Anolis sagrei: one gene and its partner. The protein of the gene in region 2 interacts with the protein of the main gene of each other region in a pairwise test. Links are inferred from orthologs where the notes say so. Each region holds a gene or a part of one and is shown on either strand. Other genes may lie near its edges.

Evidence for each region. The genes of interacting proteins can lie anywhere in the genome.
Region 1: the proteins of AP1M1 (region 2) and endosome-associated-trafficking regulator 1-like interact in binary tests that used the Homo sapiens proteins (3 or more experiments, as listed by UniProt). The two-hybrid records come from large-scale screens. The link is inferred for Anolis sagrei from reciprocal best matches to the Homo sapiens genes AP1M1 and ENTR1.

What each region holds. Positions count from the first base shown.
Region 1 is NC_090025.1:164,068,020-164,074,149, reverse strand, and holds endosome-associated-trafficking regulator 1-like, read right to left. Parts: upstream 1,642-6,130; coding exon 520-1,641; downstream 1-519. UniProt on the Homo sapiens protein: Endosome-associated protein that plays a role in membrane receptor sorting, cytokinesis and ciliogenesis. Involved in the endosome-to-plasma membrane trafficking and recycling of SNX27-retromer-dependent cargo proteins, such as GLUT1.
Region 2 is NC_090034.1:59,407,815-59,415,838, forward strand, and holds the start of AP1M1 (AP-1 complex subunit mu-1), read right to left. Parts: upstream 3,001-8,024; 5' UTR 2,939-3,000; coding exon 2,897-2,938; intron 1-2,896. Other genes in the region: RAB8A (ras-related protein Rab-8A), read left to right, coding at 3,293-3,416, 6,830-6,890. UniProt on the Homo sapiens protein: Subunit of clathrin-associated adaptor protein complex 1 that plays a role in protein sorting in the trans-Golgi network (TGN) and endosomes.

The sequences.
Region 1 (6,130 bases), on a different chromosome or scaffold from region 2:
GAATTCCTGAGCATTGGATAAGATGGCCAGGACATCTGGGCATTGGAGTCCCAAACACCTTTTGCCATAGCCTCAGTTTGAATTGTCTGCTGTACATTCGTGCTCCAAAATGCCATTAAGAGACTACAAAATTTGGGAAAGGTACTTTTTGGATTATAACTCCCAAAACCATTGACTACGAAATTCTGGGAACTGAGGTTCAAAGGTAACTTTCCCACCCTCTGAGGTATAAAGGGGGAAAAATCACGCATCCAAGGCCCAATTGCCCAATGAATGTCAAATATTCCCAGCTCTATGAAGAACAACAGGACCCAAACACTGTGCTGACCCCTTACAATGTAGTTTTGAAATAGAGCACCCAAGGCATTAGTATATCAAATTAATATTCCATTATGTAATAAAAGTACTTCTGGGGGAAAGAGAGTGAGGTTGCTTATTTGAAACCATGCATTTTGAGAGCAAATGGTGTAAGTCTCAACAGCAGTATAGGAGCATTACACTCGTAGGCAAGAGGGTCCTTTAAGTTAGTTTCTTTTCTCCATCTTCATTCTCTAGTTCTGACATTCTGCCTACAGATTTAAGGAGCTCAGCAACGAGGCTCAGTGTTTCAGCTCCAAAAACCAGCTGGTTGATGGTGGCATGGGCATGGTTGGTGACCCGGAGGAGGTTCTGCAAAGCAACATCAACATGCTGTTTTACTGCTCCCATGTTGGTGGACTGGCCAGATCTCAGGCTTTCATTCTCCACTTTGTAGCAAGTCAGCTCAGCCTGGAGTAGTGCCATCTCTTGCTTCATCTTCTCCATGTCACTTTCTGCCTTCAGAGCTCTTTGAGTCATGCACTGGAGGCTTTGTTCTGCATGTTGTACCAATGCTTCCAAATCCTGAGCCTCTTTCTCCTCTTTGTTCATAGTGGCTTGGAGCGTCCTCTCAAGATTTCTTACCATGTGTGTCTGGCTTTCAGAGTAGTTCTGGATCCTCTTGATCTTCCTCCTCAACATGGAATTTTCCTCCTTCAGCTCTTGGTAGCTCAGCTGTGGAGACACGTACTCGATTTCCTCTATAGGTTCTTCACGGGCAGCCATCTTGGTATGAGAAGGACACCCAATACATGGTTCATTGTCAGTGAATGGCCATGAAGAGAAAGCCTCCATCCCTGAAAGGCCAGCAGAGTTGTAATTATATGGGTCACACGGGATCATGTTGGCCAGTCTGGCTTTGTCGTACCTTTCTCTCCAATCATCCTCATCGTCAACCTCTAACAAATGATCAACAACAGTCTCCTCCTTGTACAAAGGCTCTTGAAATTCTAAGCTCAAGCCCAGTGGTTCTGGAGACAGAGAAACATCTTCAAGACCAAGGCTCTGCCTGGCCATTTTTCTTCGGTTACTTCTGTTTTTGGCTTCGTGTTGTCTCACCGCACCACGGTTCTTATTTTTGGGCCCTTTCAAAGGAAATGCAGATGGATTGTTTGGGTATTTCACTGGGTTGTCTCCAGAGCTGACGTGGCTCTTGAAGTTGTCTGCTGGAGGAGGTGATAAGTGGTGATGGTGGTGGTGGTAGCAGGGCTGGGGTTCTTCTTCTTCTTCCTTCTCTTTCAGGCCTCGGGACTGTGAGCAGCCTGTGAGAACTGGCCGTGGCATTTTGTGGGCACAACTGCCTTCTATAGAAGTTGCATCCTTCCAGTCTTAGCACCAGGCCAGGTCCCACTTCTCCTCAAGCAGTTTAGCCAGCCCTTGTTGAATATAGTGCCAGTGCTGTTGGCCTCAGTTCAACGGCCCGCTGAAGCATCTGAATCTATACCTTCATGCACACGTCTCTTTAACAGTGGAGGAAGCAGAGGTTACCTGGATCTATGATGTCACCAACTGACAATACTTCATTTTGTGACTTCACAGGCTTGAGAGAGGCAAATAGCTAGAACAGTTTTTACAGCTTTTTTACCCATGTCTAGTTATGAGCGGTAGGTTGAGTTCACATCTGATACTGTATCTGCTATTATAATCTTATCCTATTTTTTGATGTAACATGGGATAGTCTACTGTATCAGGCCCTGTCTTCAGTGCCAGTAACTATCTGAAATACTGTTTCAGCTATAGATCAAGGGAGACTTACAGGTAAGCTGAATCTTGTTGCTTTGTTGAATGAAATTAAAAGGTGGTGGAGAGAAAGAAAGAAGGTATGATTACAAAGTCCAATAAAAATTATTAGTGTCTTTTGGGTTTTAGGCCTGTTTCTGGGATTATTTGGGATGCTGATTCAAAAAATAGTAATGGGTTTAGGGAGCTGGAGAATCTCTATTTTGACAATAGTTGACATCTTTTCATGACCTCACAACCTCTGAGGATGCTTGCCATAGATGCAGGTGAAACATCAGGAGAGAATGCTTCTAGAACATGGCCATATAGCCCAAAAAACCTACACCAACCCAGTGATTCCAGCCATGAAAGTCTTCGACCATACATGTCTGTAATGTTCACTGAGTTCTGCCATTTGTGCTATAATAGAATTGCTATAACTGAAATATTATATGTCCAGGGACAACAGCAAGAAGTTATGGTGATGTACAGTGCCAGACCCTGAGAACATTCTCTTAAGCAGCAAACAAGCTCTGCATACATTCTGTGTTGGTCGCATAGACTTCAAATGAAGATGACAATGAATGCATTAGATATTGTTCATGCACAGTGTTGCTGTCTGAGTAACTCTGAAGTTCTGTGAAAAATTATGCTTGAAATTAACTTTATCTTGTCTTGATCAGTGCTGTGTGTGGGTTGAACTGAAAGCAGCACTGGGATTTAATAGCTCCATTGGCCAAAATTATTGTTTGTTATTTGTTTGCCTTCCTATTCAGTTTCAGAGTTCATTCCAGCTTCACATTTCACTTGGAAAATACATTAGGGCTGATATTTCAATCCTACCAAACAATGGGAAATATTTTCCTTTGCTTCTTCACCACAGTTCCTAACCTACAACAGCACCATTACTTTGTATTCACATTTGTATTGAACTAGAAAACCTGCCTTGATTCTCCTTCCTGGAGAATCTGATGATAACTATCTAAATTAAGTACAGATCAATAGTTTCTTTTGTTAGGCAAAACATGACTGCCATTTTCTCAATCAAAATTGCCTCCTTTATTATCAGATTCTTCTGTTTTCATACATTTCCCCCACAAATGCATTTAGATCTCTATCTCTGTCTGTGTGTGTCTCTTAGGGAGCTGGATACTAGCCTGTATAGCCTCGTGAATGCCTATTAACATATGTGATGCACAGCTTGTGATCCACACAAATTAACACACAACCCATCAGCTATGGATCGTGAACTCACCATCTGCTTGATAAACGTCTTGATTTCATTACCTGCTTGGGAACTGAAAATTAAAGAAAGGTCCGTGGACCACCAGTGGTCCACAATAATAAAAATATGGTCCACGGCCTCACCATTACTACACCGTTGCCTCGAAACCACAAGACAGTGAGAGCGACCAATCTCGCAAAACCCTCTTATAGTGCCAAGGTAATGGAGATGTCATGAGGGGAAAGGCTGACTTCCCATGAAATATTGCATTGGCCCTAGATTATTAAATATGGTTTTCTGTGGGTGAGCAGATGGTGACTACTAGATGGCATATGTTCTGTATCAGAAACTAGAGGTGATGTTGTCTATCCAATACAATTTTCTGTATCAGCACCCCAAATAACCAAACCGAATCTAAAGTTGACCAAAAACTGATCTGTAACCCTTTTGGTACTAATGTTGGAGAATGATCTTTGGTCAACGTGGTCAAGTGGTGCATGGTCAAAAAAGGCTGGGAACCACTGCTATATATGAATAAATAACCTTAAAGCAAGAAATACAGTGAATTGTGAATTGCTTTCCACTATGCTTTTTATTTACAACTGGTGTCCATTTAGTCACTCACACATGTGCCATTCTGTTGCAAGTAGTCAGGCCAAGAATGTTTACTCAGAAGTCAATCCCACCATAAGGCCAAATCAACACATTATGGGGAATCTTGTAGGTATTATCAGCTCATTGCCCTAGTATCTCCCTGGTTACCTGTAGTTTTGTGTGTGTGTGTGTAGCGACTTGAATAACTGCAAGTTGCTTTAGGTGTGAGAGAATTGGCCAGGGGGCACCCAGATGTTTTTGATGTTTTACCATCCTTGTGGGAGGCTTCTCTCATGTCTTCACATGGGGAACTGGAGCTGACAGAGGGAACTCATCCGTGCTCTCCCCGGATTTGAACCTACGACCTGTTGGTCTTCAGTCCTGCCGGTACAAGGGTTTAACCCATTGCACCACCGAGAGCTCCTCCCTACCTGTAGTTATAGACTGGTAGGAAGCTGGGCTAGTCAACAGCATGTTGTTCTCTTCAGAAAGAACAATCACTTCACCCCTGCCACTGTATAACATCAAAGGCCAGTCAAACTAAAACTTCCACAAGCACATCTGTTTAAGAGCAAACACTGTGTACTGTATCATCCATAAATTAATGACTGTCTTACACAACTAACTGATGAGCTAACTACAGGCAAACATCCAACTTAGAAACATCCAACTTACTAACGACTTATAGTTAAGAATGGGGTGAGACAACAGGAAGTGAGTGAAAGCTACCCCACGGAAGGGAAATTCACTCCTGAAAGAGGAGTTATCATGGGAGAAAATTTGACTTGTTTCCATAACAAGTCAAATTTTTCAAAATCCAGCTATCACAAGAACAGAAAGTGAAGTGAAATCCTCTGAACGGGGCACAGATAACAAAACAAACTCCACAGGGGTGTGCTCACTCTTCCTTATGCTATCCAAAGCCCCCCCCCCCCCAATATATATTTGTTGTTGTTCATTCGTTCAGTCGTTTCCGACTCTTCATGACCTCATGGACCAGCCCATGCCAGAGCTCCCTGTCGGCCATCGCCACCCCAGCTCCTTCAAGGTCAATCCAGTCACTTCAAAGATGCCATCTTGCTTTTGGTCAGCCCCTCTTCCCTTTTCCTTCCATTTTCTCCAGCATAATTGTCTTCTCTAAGCTTTCCTTTCTTCTCATGATGTGGCCAAAGTACTTCATCTTGGCCTCTAATATCCTTGCCTCCAATGGGCAGTCGGGCTTCAACTCAAATTCAACTCAAGAACAAACCCACACAACCTATCTTGTTAGTAACCTGGAGACTGCCTGTAATTCAAGAACTAGCTTGATAGGGACAGGTTGGCAACACCCACATGATTAGGTTCTTGTGAGTTTTTTCGGGCTATAGAGCCATGTTCTAGAGGCATTTCTCCTGACGTTTCGCCTGCATCTATGGCAAGCATCCTCAGAGGTATGAGGTCTGTTGGAATTAGGACAATGGGTTTATATATCTGTGGAATGGCTGGGGTGGGGCAAGGAGCTCTTCCCTGCTGCAGTTAGGTGTTAATGTTTAGCTTAGGTGTTAATGTTTAGTTAGGTGTTAATGATTCCTTGTATGTAATATATAAGTTTGGCCTGCGTTTTATAGATTTCTGTTATTCAGGGAGTGAGGCCAGTGTATATTTTTGCTCTTTCCATTAAGCTAGGATAATTGCCTCCCCCCCCCCTTTGTCTTCTGCTGTCCAGTATGTGATCCCTGATTGGCTGGGATCATAATACAGAAGTTTTTTGAACATTTTTTAAAAAGCTTAGAAATATAGCGCACACCCAACTCTTTCTTCTAGAGCACAAAATGATAACTTCCACATGCTTCAACTACTCTTAGTTTTGGGCACACGTTGAAATCATACTAATTTCTGCATGTCTTCTTTGTAGACTTGGATTTAGTAGTGTGTGTCATATATATTCAAAGTTTATGTGTGTTATATATATATTCGAAGTTTTATACCAGCCATAATACAAAACACTTTGATTAACTGCTGACCTTGCTGAACAAAAAGTCAGCAGTTTGAATCTGGGGAGTGGAGTGAACTCCCGCTGTTACCCCCAGCTTCTGCCAACCTAGCAGTTCGAAAACATGCAAATGTGACGAGATCAATAGATACCGCTTCGGCAGGAAGGTAACAGTGCTCCATGGAGTCATGCTGGCCACATGATCTTGGAGGTGTCTATGGACAATGCTAGCTCTTTGGCTTAGAAATTGAGAGGAGCACCAC
Region 2 (8,024 bases):
AAAAGGCCCTATCTCTCGTTCCCGCAAGCCGCACTTGTGAAGCAGGCGGGATGGAGAGAAGGGCTTCTCCTGAAGATCTTAGGGTCCTGGTGGGCTGATAGGCCGAGATACGTTCGGATAGGTATGTAGGGCCAGAACCGTTTAGGGCTTTAAAGGTCAAAGCCAGCACTTTGAATTGGGCTCGGTAGCTAATCGGTAGCCAGTGGAGCTCTTTGATTGTAGGTGAACTGTAAATCCCAACAACTACAACTCCCAAATGTGAAGGTCAATTTCCCCAGACTCCACCGGTGTTCACATTTGGGCATATTGAGTATTCATGCCAAGTTTGGTCCAGATCCATCATTGCATGAATCCACAGCACTCTTCTGGATGTAGGTGAACTGCAACTCCCAAACTCAAGGTCAATGCCCACCAAACCCTTCCAGGGTTTTCTGTTGGTCATGGGAGTTCTGTGTGCCAGGTTCAGTTTAAACCCATCGCTGGTGGAGTTCAGAATGCTCTTTGATTACAGGTGAACTATAAATCCCAGCAACTACAACTCCCAAATTACAAAATCAATCCTCCCCAACCCCACTAGCATTCACATTTGGGCATATTGGGTATTTGTGCTCAATTTACTCCAGTTAATGAAAATCCATCCTCATATCGGATATTTACATTATGATTTATGACAGTAGTAAAATGACAAGTATCAAGTAGCAACGAAAACAATATTATGGTTTGCGGTCACCACAACATAAGGAACTGCATTAAGGGGTCACGGCATTAGCAAGGTTGAGAACCACTGCCACAGATGCAGGTGAAACGTCAGGAGAAAAATTGCCTCCAGAACATGGTCATATAGCCCCCAAACGCCTACAACAACGCAGTTGTGAGATGTGTTCCACACTGGGAATGCAGTTGAGACCCCGTGGCCACTTGCTGGGCCCATCCTCGACCGGTTCATCCCACTGGATGCAGGGGCTGTCGATAGGCTCATAGCTGCAGCTAGACCGACCACTTGCTCCCTCGATCCGTGTCCCTCTTGGTTGGTGAAATCCTGCTTGGAGGGATCACGTGACCCTCTGTTGAAGATTATAAACAGCTCCCTTGAGCAAGGAGTCTTTCCAGAGGGTTTAAAAGAGGCGGTGGTCTCTCCTTTGCTGAAGAAACCAGATTTAGATCCCTCGGTTCCCTCCAGTTACCGCCCAGTTTCAAATCTCTTGTTCCTGGGCAAGGTGATTGAGAGGGCAGCAGCGGAGCAGTTGCAGCAATTCCTTGACGACACAGCCGGACTAGAACCCTTCCAGTCGGCTTCCGTGCGGGGCATGGGACAGAGACTGTGCTGGTCTCCATCATGGATCACCTTCGATGCCAGCTTGACCAGGGCGGGTCAGCACTGCTTGTGTTATTGGATCTCACAGCAGCATTTGACACAGTCGACCACAATCTCTTGACCCACCGCCTTGATGTTGCTGGAGTCAGGGGGGCAGCTTTAAACTGGCTGTCCTCCTTTCTTCACAACCGTGGACAGCGAGTGGAGAGGGGAGGCCTGGTCTCTGAGAGGTCCCCTCTATCTTGTGGGGTTCCTCAGGGGGCCATTCTCTCCCCTCTGTTGTTTAACATCTATATGCGACCACTTGCTCAGCTGGTTCGAGGTTTTGGGCTTGAGTGTTATCAGTATGCCGATGACACTCAGCTGGTGCTGAAGATGGAAGGCCGACCGGACTCTGTACCCGATTGTTTCCATCAGTGCCTCGAGGCTGTTACTGGATGGCTGCGTGCCAGCAGGTTGAGGGTGAATCCAGCAAAGACGGAGATCCTATGGCTGGGTGGACCGGGCAGTGGGGACATCCATCTGCCCACCTTGGATGGCGAGGCGTTACGCCCGTCATCATTGGTAAAGAGTCTGGGAGTCCTTTTGGACCCTCTGCTGACAATGGAGGCCCAGGTCTCCGCCGTGAGCAGAACCGCCTTCTTTCACCTGCGGCAGGCTAGACGGCTGGCCCCCTACCTGTCCAGGGACGACCTAGCTACGGTGATCCAGGCCACGGTCATCTCAAGACTGGACTACTGTAACACCCTCTACATTGGCCTCCCTCTGTTGGTGATTCAGAAGCTCAAGTTGGTACAAAATGCAGCTGCTCGGCTTCTTGCGGGAATTCTGATGAGATGCCACATAACTCCAATCTTACTGCAGCTGCATTGGTTACCAATTGAGCACCGGATCACTTTCAAAGTGATGGTACTCACCTCTAAGGCCTTGCATAGTCTGGGGCCAATGTACCTGAGGGACCGCCTCACCCCCTACCAACCCCAGAGATCCCTCCGTTCTGAGGACCAAGATCTATTGGAAGCCCCCAGTGTCAAGACCTTGCGTCTAACAGCAACCAGATGCAGAGCCTTTACAGCAGTTACCCCATCACTCTGGAATACTCTGCCACCTGAAGTTCGTGCCCTGCGGGACTTACCAGCTTTCCGCAGAGCATGTAAGACATACCTGTTTCAACAGGCTTTTAATGTTTGATACTGTTGTTTTTAAATTGTTTTAAATTGCTTTTAAACTTTGTTAGATTTTAGCTATTCTTGTAAGCCGCTCCGAGCCCCAGGGGATTGGCGGCATATAAGTTTAAATAATAAATAAAATAAAATAAATAATCAGCAGCTGTGTAGCAAAGCGCAAGGGCAGATGCCTTCACTGTATCTGGTTGTGATTCCCAGGTTGTGCCAGTCAGCTTTCGTAGAGCGAATTAAGGCAACGGAAGGGGGAAAGGCCCCAACTAAAACCCGTTTCTCCTCATCTGCCATAACAGTACAGCCAGCCTAGAAGGACAGGTTACAAGGCAGGTCCAAAGCCAAGTACACCTAATAACAATCACAAAAGAAGAAGAAGAATGGTGAAGAGAGGAAACCTCACCTTTCCCTTCAGGTCCAGCACGTAGACGGCGCTGGCGGACATCTTGGATCCGCGGCAGGCGCCGGAGCTCCTTTTCCGCTTCCGGCCAGACAAGCAACGGGCGGACCACACCGTGACGTCAGCCAGCGCACGCACCAATCGCAAGTTTCCCCACTCTAGAGCGGACAAGCCTCATTCCTTATTGACGTCATCCAGCGCACGGACCAATTGCAAGTTTCTCTAGCCAATGGGCGGGACGTTAGCGCCGACGCAGCCAATCACAAGTTTCCCCACTCTTCCTGCTCGAGGAGGAGTGCGCCGGCGAACGGCCAAGCCAATGGGAGTCCGGCGCGTTCTGACGGACAGCGACGTGGGCCTATCGCGAGCCGCGGCGGCTCCTCGCAGGCCTAGGAAGACATGGCGAAGACTTACGACTACCTCTTCAAGCTGCTGCTGATCGGCGACTCCGGCGTGGGCAAGACGTGCGCGCTCTTCCGCTTCAGCGAGGACGCCTTCAACGCCACGTTCATTTCCACCATCGGTGCGTCGTTGCCAGGCAACCGGTGGGATTGAGGGAGGGGAGGGAGGGGTTGTTATGGCGACGCCCCGGACCCACCTCCCGGTCGCCATGGCAACGAACGCCCACCTTCTAGCTGGAGAGCAGTAGGGCTCCTCTTCCGGTTGAGGGGAGAATGGGCTCCAAGTAGGCCTCATGCTGGACCATCTCCCAGGGCATCCACTCTGCGCTTGGTTAGGGCAAGCTGGATGCAACAGGCTTCTTACTGGTTTAGTGTATTCTGAAAGTGATGCATTGGAAGCATTCTGTCTTTGATGTAGGTTTTTTTGTCAGTTGCTTGAGGGTTTCCCTGGATAACTGAGAATATATATATATATATATATATATATATATGCAGGGAGGGGGGAAGTATTTAGTCAGGTACCAATTGTACAAGTTCTCCCACTTAAAAAGATGAGAGAGGCCTGTATTTTTTTTCGTCCTGTCAGGAGCAACCTGAGAAACTGCAAGTCGCTTCTGGTGTGAGAGAATTGGCCGGCTGCAAAGGCGTTGCTCAGGGGATGCCTGGATGATTTTTTGATGTTTTATTTATTTACTTTATTTGTATACCACACTCTCTCAGCCCGTAGGCGACTCAGTGCGGTTTACAACCAGGTCAATATACAAAGTGCACAACACTAGCATTTAAAAACAGTAACTAAGGCAACTACATCAAGGCCGAACAGGGTATAGGGTTACAGCCTGTGTTAGACGGGGTTACACTCCCCCTGAAGACGCAGGTTCGCAGCTTGGGTGTGATCCTGGACTCTTCGCTAAGCTTGGAACCCCAAGTTTCGGCGGTGTCCAGGGGAGCATTTGCACAACTCAAACTTGTGCGCCAGTTGCGCCCGTACCTTGGGAAGTCTGACTTGGCCACGGTAGTCCACGCTCTGGTTACATCCCGGATTGATTACTGCAACGCGCTCTACGTGGGGTTGCCCTTGAAGACTGCCTGGAAGCTTCAGATGGTCCAGCGCTCGGCGGCCAGGTTGCTAACGGGAGCGGCACTCAGGGAGCATACCACTCCTCTGCTGAACCAGCTCCACTGGCTGCCAATCCGCTACCGGGCACAATTCAAGGTGCTGGCTTTAGCCTATAAAGCCCTAAACGGTTCTGGCCCTGCTTACCTCTCCGAACGCATCTCCACCTATGAACCGACCAGAACATTAAGATCGTCTGGGGAGGCCCTGCTCTCGATCCCGCCTGCGTCACAGGTGCGCTTGGCGGGGACGAGAGACAGGGCCTTCTCAGTGGTGGCCCCTACCGGCAGACATCAGACAGGCACCTTCGCTGCTGACGTTTCGGAGAATGGTTAAGACCTGGCTTTATGAACAAGCGTTTGGTTAAGCAGTGCAACCAATCATAGGAAGACGGTAAATGGAACATAGGAATGGCACAAGGATTATGAGAACGGATCTGATTTCAACTGAGGCGTTATGTTATGTCTGTTTTGTTGATCTGTCTTGTTGATTGTTAACTGTTGTGGATTGATGCTGTTGATCCTGTTTGTTCCATTGTTATGTTTTAATTGCACTGACACTGTTTGATAATTGTACCATGTAAACCGCATTGAGTCGCCTGTTAAGGGCTGAAAAATGCGGTATAGAAATAAAGCAAATAAATAAATAAATAATATAACAGCACATCAATACATCAATATAACATCAATACATCCATAATAACTAACTCATCACGTCTCATCAGTAAAGTCATAATCCGATTTCCTCGTCCATTATTCCAAGTTCCAAGATCAATCAGTTAATTGCACTGCTTAATTAAACGCCTGTTCAAAGAGCCAGGTCTTCACTCTTCTTCTGAACGTCAGCAGGGAGGGGGCCGACCTAATGTCTGCGGGAAGGGCGTTCCACAGCCGAGGGGCCACCACTGAGAAGGCCCTGTCTCTCGTCCCCGCCAGCCGTGCCTGTGAGGCTGGCGGGATCGAGAGCAGGGCCTCCCCGGACGATCTTAATGTCCTAACTGGTTCATAGGGGGTGATGCGTTCGGACAGATAGGTCGGGCCAGAACCGTTTAGGGCTTTAAAGGCTAAAGCCAGCACTTTGAATTGTGCCCGGAATTGTGTGGAGTTGACGCAACAGAGGAGTGGTGTGCTCCCTGAGTGCCACTCCTGTTAACAACCTGGCTGTTTTATCATCCTTGTGGGAGGCTTCTCTCATGTCCCCGCATGAATAGCTGGAGCTAACAGAGGGAGCTCATCCGTGCTCTCCCCGGATTCGAACCTGCGACCTGTTGGCCTTCAGTCCTGCCGGCACAGGGGTATAACCCACTGCACCACCGGGGGCCTGTAATTGACATCATAGGTAGACCTATGAGATACAACATGAGAAAACACATCCAGAAAATCACATTGTCTGATTTTTAATGAATTTATTTGCAAATTATGGTGGAAAATAAGTATTTGGTCACCTACAAACAATGGAGCCCCCGATGGCGCAGTGGGTTATTATTATTATTATTATTATTATTATTATTATTATTATGCAGAGACCGGATGGTCTTTAGCGGTCTTTTTCAACTATTACTATTACTATTATTATTATTATTATTGTTTAGATGCTGGATGACACGTGGGTCTCTTCCATTATTGTTGTTGTTATTATTATTATTATTATTATTATTATTATTATTATTATTATTATGTAGAGGCTGGATGGCCTTTGGGGGTCTCTTCCAACTATTACTATTATTATTATTCAGATGCTGGAAGACACGGGGGTCTCTTCCATTATTATTATTATTGTTATTATAGGAGCCCCCGGTGGCGCAGTGGGTTAAACCCCTGTGCCGGCAGGACTGAAGACCGACAGGTCGCAAGTTCGAATCCGGGGAGAGGCAGATGAGCTCCCTCTATCAGCTCCAGCTCCTCATGCGGGGACATGAGAGAAGCCTCCCACAAGGATGAAAAAAAATCAAATCATCCAGGCGTCCCCTGGGCAATGTCCTTGCAGATGGCCAATTCTCTCACACCAGAAGCGACTTGCAGTTTCTCAGGTTGCTCCTGACACGACAAAAACAAAACCTACAAACATCAAGATTTCTGGGTCTCATAGACAGGCTCCTCTGCCCTCCTGTAGTAATGGCACCTATTTGAACTTGTTATCAGTCTAAAAGACACCTGTCCACAACCTGAAGCAGTCACACTCCAGACTCCACTCTGGTGAAGGCCAAAGAGCTGTCGAAGGACACCAGAAACAAAATTGTCGCCCTGCACCAGACTGGGAAGACTGAAACTGCAATAGGCAAGCGGCTTGATGTGAAGACATCAACCGTAGGAAATGGAAGAGATACAAGACTGCTGATAATCTCCCTCAATCTGGGGCTCCACACAAGATCTCACCCTGTGAGATCCCCCAGATGGTAACCCCGCTTCTCTTTTGCAGGCATTGACTTCAAGATCAGGACAATTGACCTCGATGGGAAAAAGATCAAACTCCAGATCTGGTACACATCCGATTTCATAGGATTCTAAGGTTGGGTGGGGACCCCCAAAGGCCACCCAGTCCAACCTTTTCTTTCCACCCGGCAGGGAAAGCACAACCCAACCCCTCCTGGCAGCTGGCCACCCAGCCTCTGATTCAAAGCCTATAGCGAAGGAGACTCACACAGGCTCCCAGGCAGAACAGGCGACTGTCCAACTTCCTGCAGCCTAGGATCACATTGGCCTTTTTTGCTGCTTCGGCACACTCTTGGCTCATGTTCATTTTTTACTATTGTCAAGCATTTCCTTTATTACTTTCCTCTGTCTGGATACTTGACTCCTATTTGTCTATCTATCTGTCTGTCTGTCTATCTCCCCAACCATCCAGCGATACATGTCCCTCTATAAACCTTATCACACTAGAGGTTGTGCGATACCGGCTAAACAATGTAATTTCTCCAGTGGTGTAGGGCGCAGGCACCCCGTGATAATGCGGCATGTCTCATTAAGAGCCACATCCACTGTTTTAGTGTGGTGAGATGTGTTCCACACTGGGCATGCGTACTCAGCAGCAGAGTAGCATAGTGCAAGAGCAGATGTCTTCACTGTGTTTGGTTGTGATCCCCAGGTTGTGCCAGTCAGCTTTCGTATGATATTGTTTCTAGCACCTACTTTTTGCTTGATATTCAGGCAGTGCTTCTTGTAGGTCAGAGCATGGTCCAGAGTGACTCCCAGGTATCTGGGTGTGCTGCAATGCTCCAGTGGGATTCCTTCCCAGGTGATCCTCAGAGCTCGGGATGCTTGTCTGTTTTTAAGGTGAAAAGCACATGTCTGTGTTTTAGATGGATTAGGGATCAGCTGGTTTTCCCTGTAGTATGCGGTAAGGGCATCTAGAGCTTCAGAGAGCTTCTGTTCTACCATCTCAAAGCTCCCTGCTTGAGCGATGATAGCACAATCATCTGCATAGATGAAACTCTCTGTCCCTTCTGGCAGTGGCTGGTCATTTGTGTAGATGTTGAACATGGATGGAGCAAGCACACTTCCCTGAGGCAGGCCGTTCTTCTGTTTCTGGCGCCATCTTCTTCTCTGGCCCTGAAACTCAACAAAAAAGGTCTTGTTTTGTCGCAGGTTTCCTATGAGGTGGGTGAGGTGGTAAT